Linked DNA regions of Arabidopsis thaliana. The protein of the gene in region 1 interacts with the protein of each later gene in a biochemical or structural test. Each region holds a gene or a part of one and is shown in the gene's direction. Other genes may lie near its edges.

What was found. The genes of interacting proteins can lie anywhere in the genome.
Region 2: the proteins of AIF1 (region 1) and BS1 form a complex in vitro, tested with the Arabidopsis thaliana proteins (one study listed by BioGRID).

The regions. Positions count from the first base shown.
Region 1 is NC_003074.8:1,722,828-1,730,718, forward strand, and holds AIF1 (AtBS1(activation-tagged BRI1 suppressor 1)-interacting factor 1), read left to right. Parts: upstream 1-4,323; 5' UTR 4,324-4,648; coding exon 4,649-5,284; 3' UTR 5,285-5,538; downstream 5,539-7,891. Other genes in the region: LON4 (lon protease 4), read right to left, coding at 62-101, 187-273, 386-451, 565-663, 715-870, 999-1,046, 1,204-1,269, 1,362-1,547 and 2 more. UniProt on the Arabidopsis thaliana protein: Atypical bHLH transcription factor probably unable to bind DNA. Negatively regulates brassinosteroid signaling.
Region 2 is NC_003070.9:27,995,235-28,002,669, reverse strand, and holds BS1 (activation-tagged BRI1(brassinosteroid-insensitive 1)-suppressor 1), read left to right. Parts: upstream 1-3,848; 5' UTR 3,849-4,001; coding exon 4,002-4,133; intron 4,134-4,222; coding exon 4,223-4,372; 3' UTR 4,373-4,751; downstream 4,752-7,435. Other genes in the region: AT1G74490 (Protein kinase superfamily protein), read left to right, coding at 6,174-6,261, 6,530-6,852, 6,945-7,080, 7,159-7,419. UniProt on the Arabidopsis thaliana protein: Atypical and probable non DNA-binding bHLH transcription factor required for MONOPTEROS-dependent root initiation in embryo. Promotes the correct definition of the hypophysis cell division plane. Transcriptionally controlled by MONOPTEROS.

The DNA.
Region 1 (7,891 bases):
AGAATTTCTCTGGATAATATCAAATAAAAAATTCCTATAGTAGTAGACTAGTAGTACTAACCAGAAAGTGCAGATTTGCTGTCTGTCTCCCCGCCAAGCTCCTGCATTGGTACATTTAATAGTCATCAACCAACAATACTATACATCATAAATTAGCAGCTGTAAAATTAGAGGCGAACTGAAAACCTTTTTTATAGCATTGATCTGCTCCTTTAGTATGATACGACGTCTATCGCCACTAAATTTTTCTTCAACAGCTTTTGCTATGGATTCCTAAACACGAATTCAAAGAGATAAGGATTCATTCTATATAAACTAATCATTTACAAAGATCTAGTAGCACGAGTCAGCTGGACAGATGCAGACAAGTGAAGGAATGACGTACTTGAATCTTGTTAATTTCAACTTCTTTTTTCACCAATTCCAGCGTCAACTCTAGACGTTTGTGAACCTGGATCGAAGAAAAAAACATATGAGAAGCTGGCTAAGAATGGACTATCATCCTGTTTGAGGTAATCTCAGCATCAAAACGTGACAGTAATAGACTAATAGCTAACTACTTACATCCAGTTCTTCAAGAACCCCCTGATTTTGATGTTTGTTAGCGCCAGAGATCCCAGCTCCAAAATCGGCTAACTTTGGATAATTGAATTCACCTATATGCTATTTTAGATAAATCTAGTAAGATACTGATACTCTTGACATATTCTTTACTCTCAAGCAGTGCCAAATATGAAGAGAACATGCCTGGGTATATGTCCGAACATGATCTCTCCAGAGTGAAGTTGTCTTTAAGACATCCCTAAGTGTCGACATCACTTGAAAGTATGTTGCCTTGATGACATCATCGTCCTTGTCATATGGCTTATCCTGCAAATAAATAACAAAGAACACGTGACAAGGGTTAAAGATTTCAGCATTTCAAAAGAAAACAGAAACCGCATCTCTTGCTCCCATGCTTGTATCATAAAAGGAAAGGCTTGAAAACAGAAACACACCTTTAGATGGTCAACTTTGACGGTTAGGGGATCTTCACTCTCACTCACCTGAACAGAAACAAAGCACATGGTTTTCACACTCAGAGAACCATAACTTGATAAGCAGAACACACATGTGTAAGATATACACAGAGCTTCTGAACAATTGAATCTTTACTTTTCATGAACTTTTGATCCTTTAAAAAGATATGTTCCTTTAACGTACCATCTCTGTTATTCGAAGTTGTCTGTGACCAATAAGGATGACTTGCTCACCTTGGATACTTGAAATCTGGAAAATTGGCAACAGCTAAGTCTATTCAGACAGATATAATCATATAAAGGGAAAACATACAGTGCTAACGTGCGGCAAGAAAGTAGTACCTGGGCAAGTGTGCCAACTTCATGAATCCGGTTAATCAACTCTTTTCCTTTCAACTTCTCTAGAATATTCTCAGTTTCAGAGCTCGAAGATGAGTCAGATGACGCGTCATCCTTCAAAAGGAAAGCCCCTGCATATGGAGCTTGTTGTCTTCTACTCTCTTGTAAAGCTGCAAGAACTTTAGGATCCTAGACAAATAAAAAGCTTATACATACAGGTGAGAGAACACAAGATAACAAAATCCATTCTTTCACTATGATTTCGAATAGCTAAGTTGATGTAAGATACCTTGACATATATTGGCATGTAAAAGCCAGGAATAAGAGGCTTGTGGGGCAATGGCAATGCTATAACCTGCAATTCAACAACATAAAGCTCAATGAAAACAATCGTAGCGAAGCTCGAGGAAATGGTTTTGCTATAAAAGGTTCTAGCTTTTGCCTGACTATAAAACTAGGAATGATCCATCCAAATTTGCGTATATCAAAAGATCAGTATACTATAAACACACTCAATTTCTTCAAAATTTCGAATTTTCCAACCAATGCTATTAAAGTTTATAGTTTTAACTTTCCAATCGCTAGAACCATAAAGAAAATTTTGCCAATTGAGCTGATTTCTCTATGTTCTATGAAAAATCAAAGCATATGAAGTGCACCAGCCAAGTTCAATTGTTTCTGGAAATCTTACATTCCCCATGATCATAAAATTCCCCATAGTCGGGAAAAAAAAAAGTGTGATCTTGAAAAAATTTGAACAAACCGTTAGACAATCGTCCAGGTGAGGTTTAGCTGAGACAGTAGTAGTTGAAGACTTTGTGTCGGAATCCAAGTCGGAGGAAAAAGAACGACGACCCAATTCGTAGGAACTCCGGTTCCATCCGGTTAGAAGAGTCAGTTGCTTGAACAATAGATTCTTAACCGGGGTAGACCGGAATCGAGTAGCCGGAGTCACGTGATGGGAAGCGTAAGCAGTCGGAGTGAGAAACTTCAGCATGACGGGGGAGGAAGATCTTGAGTAGCGAATTTGGGAAATTAGGGTTAAGCTTAGCCTAATAGGCAAGAAACCGTACGAAAGTGAAGAATGTTGTAGACGAAGACTGGTGGTGTCAAAAGCCCTTCATAAACCCCTTCCCAAGAATTAATAAACAAAAAAAAAAAAAAAGGAAGAAAACGTATTTTTGGGAAAAGGACATCCACTGCCTCCAACGATGTCGTTTCATTGCATTTATATCTTATTACTAGTCTTAAACCAAACCAGGACCGGTTTGAAAAAAAATCGGTCGTTAGCTAAATTTTGGGCCGAAGTAATAAACTTTATCTTGGTCCTGGGCTTTTATTGTTTTCATTTTCAGGAGCCCTTACGGTACCAATTGGTACTATCTTTCTTCTTTGGAATTTTCGAGGAATTTGTTTATGGTTAAAGTGAAACTGAACCGGTTTGATGATACAACAAATTAAGCAGATGTATTTTTTTTATGTCAAAAAATAAAAAAGAATTGTTTCTTTCTGCTAATCAGTATAACTGTTGACAAAATGAAATACTAAAAACGTGAAAATTGAAAGGAAAAAAAAAAGAGAGGATGTTGTGTATATAACTTAATTAGTACTCTAATTATTCCATATTGTTGTTCTTTGTTTCGCATGCAATGTACGGCTCCGTTTAATAATTCATAAGTTTGATTTCTAACATATATCGATGTTTTTGACAGAATATTCAGAAAGATTTGTCTATAACCAAAAAAAAAAAAAAGATAGAAAAAATTTAAGTGCACACATACCTAATATTTTGTTCATGAAACAAATCATTGTCATCATTATTAATATTATTGTCCTGAATTGGGATAACCAAAAAATAATCAATGAGGATAACAACTAATCATTTGATTTGGGAATAATAAATAAACAAACAGAAAAGGAAGAAAAAATTAAGAAGAGGATATCAAAGCGTGTCTGACGCCAGGAGGCAAATCTCTCTGTCATGACTCACGTTTATTGCTTGAAACCCCACATTTGCATTGTTTTTCTTTGCTAATTGGATACTTTTGTTTCTTAATTTCTTTGCTAATACTTTGTCTTTTTTTTTCGTATGTTCTTACTTCTTACTAGCCTAAACAAATACGAAACATATGCGTTTCCCAACCCTTAAGTAACTTTTGACGGATAGATGTTAGATTAGTTATAATCCTTGACATGGTATAAAAATATTTAAGGAAAACTTATAATGTTATTTAGTATGTATATATAGAACTTGCCTTTCCACTTATAAACTGATTGACTAGTGCAATCCAAAACCCAATTCTATGCTTTTCGAAAAAAATCAACTAAATCAAATTATTATTTTCTAAAAAAAAGGAAGAAAAGTATAAAGAACATGTTATATGTTTCACAAAACACCAAATACTGAAAATCTTTTTTCGAAAAAATAGAGAGATTTTGAGCCAAAAAATGTGGATGATAAATAGCCACAACAACCACTAAGCCTAAGGTGTGAAGGTCGTGAAATAAAACACCATCACATGCATCTTCTCTTTTTCCTATTCTTTTCCTTTTTTTTTTGTTCCTTCTTTAAAAAAAAAACTCATTAGCTTTTTTTGTTTCTTTATGTTAAATTTTGTTTGATAGCTATTTGTTCGATCTATTGGTTATATTGCCACCAATCATTGCCCTCCACATTATTACATCAAACTCCTCCATTCCATCGCCAATTTTGTTCTTTTCACAACTAAAAATCTACAAACTAAATATTCCACGTCATAACACAAATTTACGCCGCTCACCATCATAAATAGATATGTAAAAAGTTTCAAGTTTAGTCTATGAGTAAAATATCTGTTCAAATATCTAATTTTGCAACGAAGATAGATATTTTCGTTCGACGTCGAAAGAAGAAAAGATATTTTTTGTTCCTGAATCATTTTTCTAATCTAAAAATGCATTAAGTTCAAACTGAATTTTTTTCATTCACCAGTTCAATCATAATTGGCCAATGTGATTTTAGACGTACATTATTATTAAAGAAAAATAAATAAAAAATAATGGTATTCAATTCGAAAAACCCAAGAAAATATAGAAAATAATTGATTTAAGGGTGGCTTCTCCAATCTCTCCCAAATGTTTATATATAGAGAATTAGATATCCCCTCCAATTACTCAAAATTATTATCAAAATAAGAAAGAGCTCAACATTGTTCTCTGACTCTATAAATAACTGTTCTTGGAAATTTTCCAAGAGAACAAGAAACAAAAACAAAACGTTGTTTAAGTGTGGTTCTATAGATTTCTTGTGAATGTCTTCTGAACAAGGAAATGGATCGAATCCTTCCACGTCACCGGAGGTAGAAGGGACTAAAACAATCCCCTTTCGCCGGAGATTGCAAAGAGGACAAAGAGTTTTCGCTCCAAAGCTGATGGAGGCTCTACGTCGATCAAGGGTAAGCTCTGAAGAAGCTCCGGTAAGGCATCTTAGTCGTAGATGGAGAGCCACAACGGCGCAGAAGGTATATTCCCTAAAGCTCTACGACGCTCTTCAACGATCGCGGCGGAGCGCAACAGTCCGGGACACGGCCGACAAAGTCCTTGCGACGACCGCTCGTGGTGCAACTCGGTGGAGCCGAGCCATTTTGGTTAGTCGATTCGGAACGAGTCTGAGGCGGCGTAGGAATACCAAACCGGCGTCGGCATTAGCTGCGGCGATCAGGGGAAGTGGTGGAAGTGGGAGGAGGAGGAAGTTATCGGCGGTGGGAAATCGGGTCCGGGTTTTGGGTGGGTTGGTGCCGGGTTGCCGGAGAACGGCGTTACCGGAGCTTTTGGACGAGACAGCAGATTACATAGCGGCTTTGGAAATGCAAGTCCGAGCCATGACAGCTCTATCAAAGATTCTGTCGGAGCTTCAGCCGTCTACTAATCTCGGCTCGGCTTTATAGCCGAGTGTATAAGCCGATGAATTTGTTTCAATTAATTCTTTTACGATTTTATCGTGGGAATGTCTTATTGTTTTTAATGATTTGTTTGCCCTGGAAAAAAAAAATTGTCAAAATCATCACGAGTTGGACGAAAATACTATGTTTTTCTAAAAACCTTATAATAGGATTCGAAATATTTTGGTGTCGTTTCACAAGTTTGAATTGTAAATATTTTCTAAGAAAATGAAATTTCTAAAAAAAAATTTGAATATAATAAGTGTTTCAAATATTTACTAGAAGCATAATTCCAGAAATTAACTTTTAAAGTTTAAACCCAACGATTTGTCTTTAGTCCACATATGTGCTGATGCTCATGACAACTTTGTATATTTAAGATAAATCCGTAAGTAAAAAAATTCCATCGAGAATTTAAATGTGTCAATTTGGAGATATTCCTCAAGAATCTAGGTTCCACCAGTTAGATATAAACATTAGAGGTTATTCTAAAATAATATTAAAAACTCATTTAGTTTCTCTCTAAATGTGTATCTAATTTATAGGTCCGTTGTACGTATCGGATATTAAAATCAATTGTTCATTCACCTAATAAAATTTTAAAAGCTATATTTAAGAAAATGTAATTTCGATATTTATAAGCTATATGCCAAAAAATTTGAATTTTAATAAAAGTATAAATATAGACGGAGAAGGCATGTGCATGACGACCCTACGGTCCGACTCTTTTGCTCAAAGTGCGTCGCATGTGAGAGACCTCTTTATCTGAATTTAGTTTCTTCTCGAACAGTTTTTTTTTTTTTTTTTTAAATCTTTAATTTGTAAGAAAATTAAATTCATAAAGAAGATACAATAAGTTAAAACGCCTTTCGTGTGTCCTACAACTTAACCAACTTTGTGAAACAAAATGAGTGCATATATCATACTTTGTCCTCACAAAAATGGATCAGGATTATCTTTAGTTATAGCTAAATTCGTACATGATGAATAATATTTAGACCAATACCAGCCAACCAGTTTAGTTTGGTTTATGGTTCGCTAATTACTTAAATAAATCTGAAAGTAGATAACATTTTTAAAGTTCTGACGATATGAATTTAAGTTGAATGTTTGTTAGCCTTTGAAGAAATGGTTAACGTACGTTTTGCGAAGTTAATTCTCAGTCAATTATCAACAAAAGAAAACACATATTTAACCTATGATATTTGGAGCAATAACATATGAATGTAAACAACATTAGGGCATTAATTAATTAGTAGATAATTATGAAAATCTACGTCCATATAACGATCGAGGACATGGCCGACGTGATACGTAGGAGCAAAAATTCATATAGGCAACCAATTGTGGCTATCAAGTGGTATCCATCCCTTTAGTTTTTATGCAAACCATTAATTCATTTTAAGTGACAAAAGGAAAACACGGCTTTATATAGCTAGATTGCAAAATTATTTGCGATGAATATATCATGATTGATATAAGAAAAAACTAATATACGTACGATTTCCAAGGACATTCCACTGTTAGAAAAAAAACTATCGAGAATCTAAGTGATGATAGATTAACATGTTAGAAAAAGACAATAAAAAGAAAAAACTATCGAGAATTTGAGGGATTACAAAAACAAATGAAAGAGAGGAAAGATTTGCCATTAAAGAGGTGACACGTTTGAAGAGTAAAGCCTCAAGAAAAAAAAGAGATGACAACGAAAATGGATGGAGACGTGAGAGAGAAGGTGGCATAATAATTGGGGTCAAGTGTGAGATGTCTTCTTTGATTCCTTCAAGGCTTAAGGACCACCCACCACCACTTTCTCACCTCCCCCTCTTCCTTTTTTATAATTATCCTCGTGCTTCCGTAATCTTCTATACTACATAGGGATTAGTCAGTTGCGAATCCGAAATGCTATATTTCGTGAATCTCAAGCCTCCATTGAAAACACAATACCAAAGACAAAAGTTGCATACTGTTTGATATATGTCTCACTGATTAGGGATGCCATTTAGGTCAGGTTCGGTCTCAATCCAAAAAATATATATTTTGTAGCCTTATTTCGGTCTTGCTTCAACAATATTGATCAGCTCTATTTTTCAAATAAGAGTTAATTTTGTGGATAGATATTCATCTAGTGCACATATAACAAAATGAAAAGAAGACAAATTGATGAACAAAACAAAAAACTGATGGTTCCACAATGCAACATGATAGGACTCGACCAAAAAACTTGGGACTTACGGATTTTCCCAAAACCACTTAAGATTTTCTTTTTTATGATTCAAAAAATAAAAACTTCTTTCAACTCTTTTTCTTTTCCCTTTCATCGGAATTTTTACCCTTAAGAAACATCCTTACTTGTGGCTAATTTGATAACTAGAAAACTTCACAAAATCCTTGAATATATGCCATTTTTGGGATCCGCTTGTAACAACAACTATCATATATAAATACCAAAAATGGCCCCTACGTTAAGGAGGAGTGGTCATTTTCTTATAGCATCGGCAAATTAAGAAGTGTCATTCTCAGAGCTGCTGTTTAAGCACGTTGACCCGAAAGAATTGACCCATCAGAGCTTGAGAGCATGATCTGATATTTGTCTCTTTGTTTACCATTGGA
Region 2 (7,435 bases), on another chromosome or scaffold:
TATAAACATTTTCTACAAGCATTATGTATAAATATTTTCTACAAGCATTTATCGCCAATTTCTATAATATGTTTCGAAGATATAAGCCTTACTAATTAAAAAAAAATAATCTATTTTCACTCATCAAAAACAGAATTCCACGGGACTAGAGTTATCTTCCCAATTGTCTATATCTTTGCATAATCCTAATCAATCTTCGGCTTCTAAACCTGTGAGAGACTAAATTTATTTTTGCATACATACGCGAGCCTGAATTTGTCTTCCCTATTTCGGATCTCTTTTATCGAATTCTCTAAAAAAGGCTTGCATAATCCTAATCAAATTTTCAGCTTCGGAAGCTGCATATGTTAATTAATTCCAACATTTAGGATTGAAATCAAATCACCATCATTCTTTACTATTATCAAAAATGAATAGTAAAAACTATTGAAGATCTTTCAGAAAGCAAAACTTCTGATTAAACCCCACTTTAACTACTCAGTAGAAAAATATTCATCAAATTCATTGTTATCATCATGAAATCATATAATCCAATTTAATTTCTTTTACTAAACTTTATAATACTTAAACTCAATATAAACATTATTTTATTTTCTGTGTAACATAAATAAATAAAAACAGAAGAAAACTAGACAAACCGAAACAAGTAGCAAAACGAATAAACAAAACGGATTTGGAGGTTTTAACAAAAAAAATAAGACTGTAATAAGAATAGAATGCTCGTGAAATAAAGCTTAATCTTCGCTGTCGATTGATTAGTGATCATGTGCCGCGAGAGACACGCTGACCACAATTTAACACATCTGAGCTCTTTGTTTATGTTCCTTTCTTTAGAAATAAAACTCATATCAAATCTTACCTAAAATAAAAAAAACTTACAATTAGATCTTTTCTCTCTAATGTAATCACTTTTAGACTTATTTAACTTTGTTTTTTTATAGCGAAGAAAAGTTATGATTGATTGTTTTGGTTGACCTTGTGTGTATATACTATCTATTTATGTTCACCCGCAATTATTATTTAAGTCCCCTATTCGAACTTTTTATCTCTAGATATTATTAGTTCTCTCATGATCATGTTCAATCCTATCCACACAGATATATCATATTTGTTGATGATTCGATATAGAACTATCGAGATGTCTCTAATTTTTTTCATTATCTTTTGTAATTCCTGTTATCTTGGAAACGTTTTAAAGCTATGTCTGATATGTTTATCAAATAAAGGAAAAAGGGAAAGAAAAAATAACTATGCCTGATATTGACTCTCCGACGAAAACTTGGTGAGAAGACCATTCATGTCATTTAAATGGAACACACGAAGAAGATAAATAGTGAAATTCGGTTGGAGCTAGGTCCCCATACCTATCACTAGACTACCATCTAATTATATATGATATATATTATATAAAACCACATTTGATATGATCTTATAAATTAATATTATACAATAATTTTGACTTTTAATAATTTATCGCTCATTTACCATTTCAAAAATTGTGAAGGTATATATACAATAGTAGGAGTACAAAATTTTGTATCATTAACATTATATTTTGTTATCGCCAATTTTCTACCGTTTCAATGAGCTAGTGAGAAATGGAGTTGAAAATTTGTACAACAGCCTACAGCAGTACAATTAAGTTCTTCTAGAAGATTTTACTGAAATGGTCGCTACTTTTCAACATACAAGGAATTTGCATTTAATGAATCAAAAGTAAATTGCATTACCATATATTTCTCCAATGTATTAAAATCTGAGATTTTGTGTTTCGTCCTCCACAGCTCACTCTTCGAGTTTACATTTTTTCTTTGTCGTCTTATACTTTCTCTTTTTGAAACATATCTCCTTATTTTCTTGGCTTATTTTAACTATATAAGAAAGTACGTAATTTTTACTATACAAGAATTTGTAGTTTTCACTTTTCAGGCTCGAAACTACAAGGATCTCAGAATTATTATAAAAAAGGCGTAAGAAATACAAAGTTGGCGAATATTTTTCTCTGTAAACTATTGTCCTAACATTCGTTACAAAGAAAAACAACGAATAAGAAAATGCAGAGGTAGATATGGGTCTAAAATTTTGGATTGTTGACGTAACAAAAATATCTAAATTTTAACCAATATATATCTAAACGACTTCTGTGTATTGATACAAAAAATAACAAATAAAGATAAAATATTGATGAAAATAAATTTTCCTCAAGTTTCCAAACGATAGGCAAATGTTGGTTTTAATATTTGCTGTTAAAATCATTTTAGCATAGTGGTTAAATTAAAAATGCTTTTAGTTAGAAACATTTAGTGAATACTTGTTGTTGTTAAAGAAACGTTAAGTGGATACGGTAGTTCAATACTTTAAGTATGTTTCTATTCTCTTTTTTATTCTTATTCATCATAATTTTTATATTTTCCTGTTTTCTCTTTTCAATAATAATATTAATTCATAATTAACTTAGATACATTTTCTATATCTTTAGGCCTATGAGTTTCTAAATACGGCCCTAGCTACGTGTTTTTGTGGTGCAGCTGATTAGTGCATATAGCTAAATAAATAACTAAACAATGAGATGACCGATGAAGTGTTCAACGTCGGTCGGTGCAAGTGAACGCGCCTCCCGAAATGCCACGTGTGTGTTGTTTTGTTGATCAAAGAACATGGGCGTGTGTGTGATCTCTTTGACCAGTCAAATCACTCATACTTTGGCTCTTTCCTCATACACACAAAATGTATACGTATATTAATTAAAAGAATTACTGTGTGTAGATTTTTTCTTATACGTCGTCATGTATTTTTTTTTAAATTTGGTCATGTATGTTTTTTTATATTCTGCATTAAAAATACCAAAACAATTCTTATATTAGAGTAGAGGGAGTAAAAAAACAAAAAAAAAACAAAACAAATTGAATTACATTGTTAATTAAATTTCTTTTTTTTTTTTTATATAACTAATTGGCTGTTCGGTCATTTTTGATAAAAACACACTAAAAATGCTTCAGAAATAATCTGATTTTGTATTGTATAAAATGCCGGTTTAAATAACAATGCCATAAATTATAAGTTGGTAGTATTAAAAAAAATATAAGGTACATGTGTGGACGTGGTAGAGCGAAATCCCAAACATCGATAATGTGAATTTGTATCTTAATAGAAGTTGTGTTTCGAGGAATGGATAGGCTTATTTTACTTATAAAGTATATATAAAAAAAAAAGTATAATACTTTCTTCCTTGATAAACGCACAAAATTCAGTTCAATATCTTCTTTAGTTTAACATTACTCACCACAGAAGTAACAATACTCTACCATCTTTATAACCTTTCAATATATACAAATGTTTATTTCTGTTACATGACGTCCATGTCTGTTCGTATAAAATAAAAAATATTAAAATGTTTCTTTTCACTTCCTATTTTTTTCGTAATAAAAAAACTAAGTTGAAGATATATAAATTATTAAGGTAATGAAGAATGTTAAAAATAGACCTTAGAAGTTAGAACTCTAATATATGAACTGCAAGGTCCGAGTGTCAAATTCAAAGCTCGAAACATATTAATAAATTTTACGGTATAGGGTAATTTTTCATATATGTTTTGGCTAGATTCAACGATATATATTATTATACCTAGCAAATTTAGATCTATGTACATTTAAAATACGAGATTCTCTGAAATCGTTCTATTATAACAAAAGTTGTCAGGAGAGGGGGCATATAATTCAATATTTGAAAAATAAGATTCGCAATATATTTTTTTCTAACTAAAATAAGAAAGCAATTTTATATATTTTTCATAAACAAATAATAAAAAGACCTACATAAATACAACCGTCACTTCACTTGTTTCCTTCATACTATCAACTTTTCTCTATCTATCTCTCTCTCTTCTTTTTCCGGCATAACTTCTGTGTTACCCTAAACTCCATAACCTGTTTCACCGATAAAGTGCCTTTGCTTCTATCTCTGTCACTCTTACTACTTGTTGAACAATATTCTACAAAAAAATGTCGGGAAGAAGATCACGTTCGAGGCAATCATCAGGAACTTCAAGGATCTCAGAAGATCAAATCAATGATCTGATTATCAAGTTGCAACAGCTTCTTCCTGAGCTCAGGGACAGTCGTCGTTCCGACAAGGTATGCTGAATCTAACTAAGTCAACTAGTTATGTAATATATATGCGTATATATGGCATGAAAATAATGATACATGATACATATTGACAGGTTTCAGCAGCGAGGGTGTTACAAGATACGTGCAACTACATACGGAATCTGCATAGAGAGGTTGATGATCTAAGTGAGAGGCTATCTGAGTTACTAGCAAACTCAGACACTGCACAAGCTGCTTTAATCAGAAGCTTACTTACCCAATAATTCCTATCTATCTTTTTCTTCTTCTTCTTTTTTTTGTTTACTATAATAATAATAATAGTTTGCGGGTTTTTTTTTCTATAGATGTTGATGACCTTATAAACGTTTAATGATACGAGTTCGTCACTTCTGCTTGGGTCATAAATATTCGCTTGTTTCCAATATAAAACCTTTGCCCATTTTCGGTTATCTTGTTTGTCTCTCCTTTTTTTCTTTCTAATATGCATTTAATTTGGTTAGGGTTTTGTTCACCAAAGACTTGGCTATGTTCATTTCTAAGCTTTTTATTGGTTTCGTGTTTTTGAGTAATATAAAACATGTCATAACAAGAGCTTATATGAAGAACAACGAATTTGTAATTTAAAACATGCCATTCAAAAATTTCATCTTATTTTTTTTTATCGATCTTGAGATATGAAAAACCTTACAAAGCGTAATGGTTCCCTAAATCGTCCAAGAACACATATTATGAATTTATGGGCTTTCTTCTAAATGTCAAAAGAAGAATACAAAGTCGTAGTTGATTACTAAATATATCATGAAAATATTATAAAATAATTAATTATTTAAGTTGGATACCGAGCAATCTATGAAACTGTCATTTCCGCATATTAACATTGAAGGAATTATTGGAAGATTATGTTTATGGGCAATAAAGTATGGGGTGAACTTGACGCTATGCACTCAAAAGAAGCACAAAAAGCTGCAAATTTTATGCCATAACCTAATTTCGATTTTTGCCACTTTTAATTTTTTATTTGAAATTTTTATTTTCTTCCCACCAAACATACTTATTTGAGATTTTTTTGCTTCCTTATATAAAAACGAGATCTTGTGCCGCCAAACCCAACCAGAACTAATGGGTTCGTCAATGATGATTGAAATAGAGCACCGAGCCTAAACACTTACATTTTTATATGTGAATCTTCAATGAATATTTTTTGTAACAACACGCATTATGATTTAAATCCGGATAGGAATACAATAACGATATTAGGACAAACTACTATCTCTTCATATCTTTATCCACAATGGATTTCTTGTCATATTCAAGAAATGAAACAAATAACTACATATGAGATAATAATATCTATATGGGACTTTGACGTTAACATAAAAAAATCTAATTTTCACTACAAATTCATAGTCATTTTCTCAGAGTTCCAAGATAACTCTCATATATTAAAGATCATGTCCACTATAATCGTGTATGTTAAATGGTAACCGATTGTTCTCTATTGATTTAGATTCATCTTAGCTATAATCATTTATTCATTTATCATAAACAATATGATCATTTAAAATTATTAAGAAATCAATAAGAAATAACAAAATAAAATGTAATAAAAATTATTCTATAAAAAAGTCAGCTAGTAAATTTATAACCAAAAAATAAAAAAGAAAATTAATGGGAAGAGTGTGGGGGACACGAGAGTTTCACGTGACGTAAATAAGTCAATTGGTAATTAATAGGGTGACTCTCTCTGACAGGAAGTTAATACAACACGGAAACTCTTTTCTCCAAGTTCTCTCTAATTATAGTTTTTCCAAATTTTTACAATTCCAACCCCTTTCTCTCTAATCTCTCTTCCAAACCTCTGCATCGCTTTCAAATCCAAATACATTTTGACTCTTTTCACCACTCTCGTTTCCACGTTCTTCCTTTTCACCAGAGGAAGAATGTCGATGACAGAGCCGGTGTGGAAGATCAATCCATAGCCATTTTAATACTCTGTTTTATTTCTTCCATTAATTGTATCTAGGGTTTTGGTTTTTGGATGATTACATCTTTGTATAGGATTAAATGGGGAATTGCTTTGAATCTTGTTCGAAGAGAAATGATAATGAGGACGATAATCTTGACTCCTCAGTGAACTCGAAACCCTTTTCACGTAAGCTCTTCTCATTCTTTGATATTCATATCTCTCTGTTTCTGGAAGAGTCTAACTAAATTCTTACTGGAATTGTTGAACATAACTTGTCCTTTTGCACATTTTCCTGGACCCTCTGAATGTTAATGCATTGATGGATGAATCTTTTATGTAGTCTGGTTATTCGATTGCCCTGTTCTTAACTTTAGTGACTTTGTTGTTGATAGTTCTGTTTATCCATTTAATTCTCATTTTGATGTAAGAATGTGTGGCTCTGTTTCTTATCCAGGAGCTAATAGTGATACTGGAAGAAGCTCGAATCTGTCATATCCATGGAGTTTAAAACCTCTCATTACAAGAAAATGTGAAGCTATCAGTGCTCTACCTCCACCGCACAAAGAAGGAGACATAATGCATTCTCAATATTTGAAGTCCTTTACCTTAGATGAGCTAAAGAATGCTACAGGAAACTTCTGTCCAGAGAGTCTAATTGGAGAAGGAGGGTTCGGGTTTGTTCACAAAGGCTGTATTAATGGTGGACCTGGAATCGAACTCGCGGTTGCTGTAAAGAAGCTTAAAACCGAAGGGCTTCAGGGACATAAGGAGTGGCTGGTAAGCTTCTTTTCAAATCATTTTATTATGATTTCACCTTGAGACTGTACTCTATTGAAATCTCTACTACTTGTATATGGTTTTCTCCAAAGAGGGAAGTGAATTATCTTGGAAGATTGCATCATCCGAATCTAGTGAAACTGATTGGTTACTCCTTGGAAAACGAACACCGCCTTTTGGTTTACGAGCATTTGCCTAATGGTAGTCTTGAGAATCATTTGTTTGAAAGTAAGTAAAGAAACTCTTTCTTAAATCTAAAACTTTTTGAGTTTTTTCCTTCAATGATCTGGATTCTGCTTATTCTAGGGAGTTCCAGTGTGCTTTCTTGGTCACTGCGTATGAAAGTCGCGATTGGTGCTGCTCGAGGGCTATGTTTTTTGCATGAAGCTAATGACCAAGTCATTTACAGAGACTTCAAAGCAGCAAATATCCTTCTCGATTCAGGATTCAACGCCAAACTCTCAGACTTTGGATTGGCCAAAGAAGGTCCAAAAGATAACCGTTCACATGTGACAACAGAAGTCATGGGTACAGAAGGTTACGCAGCTCCAGAGTATCTAGCAACAGGTTTCTCTTTATTTAT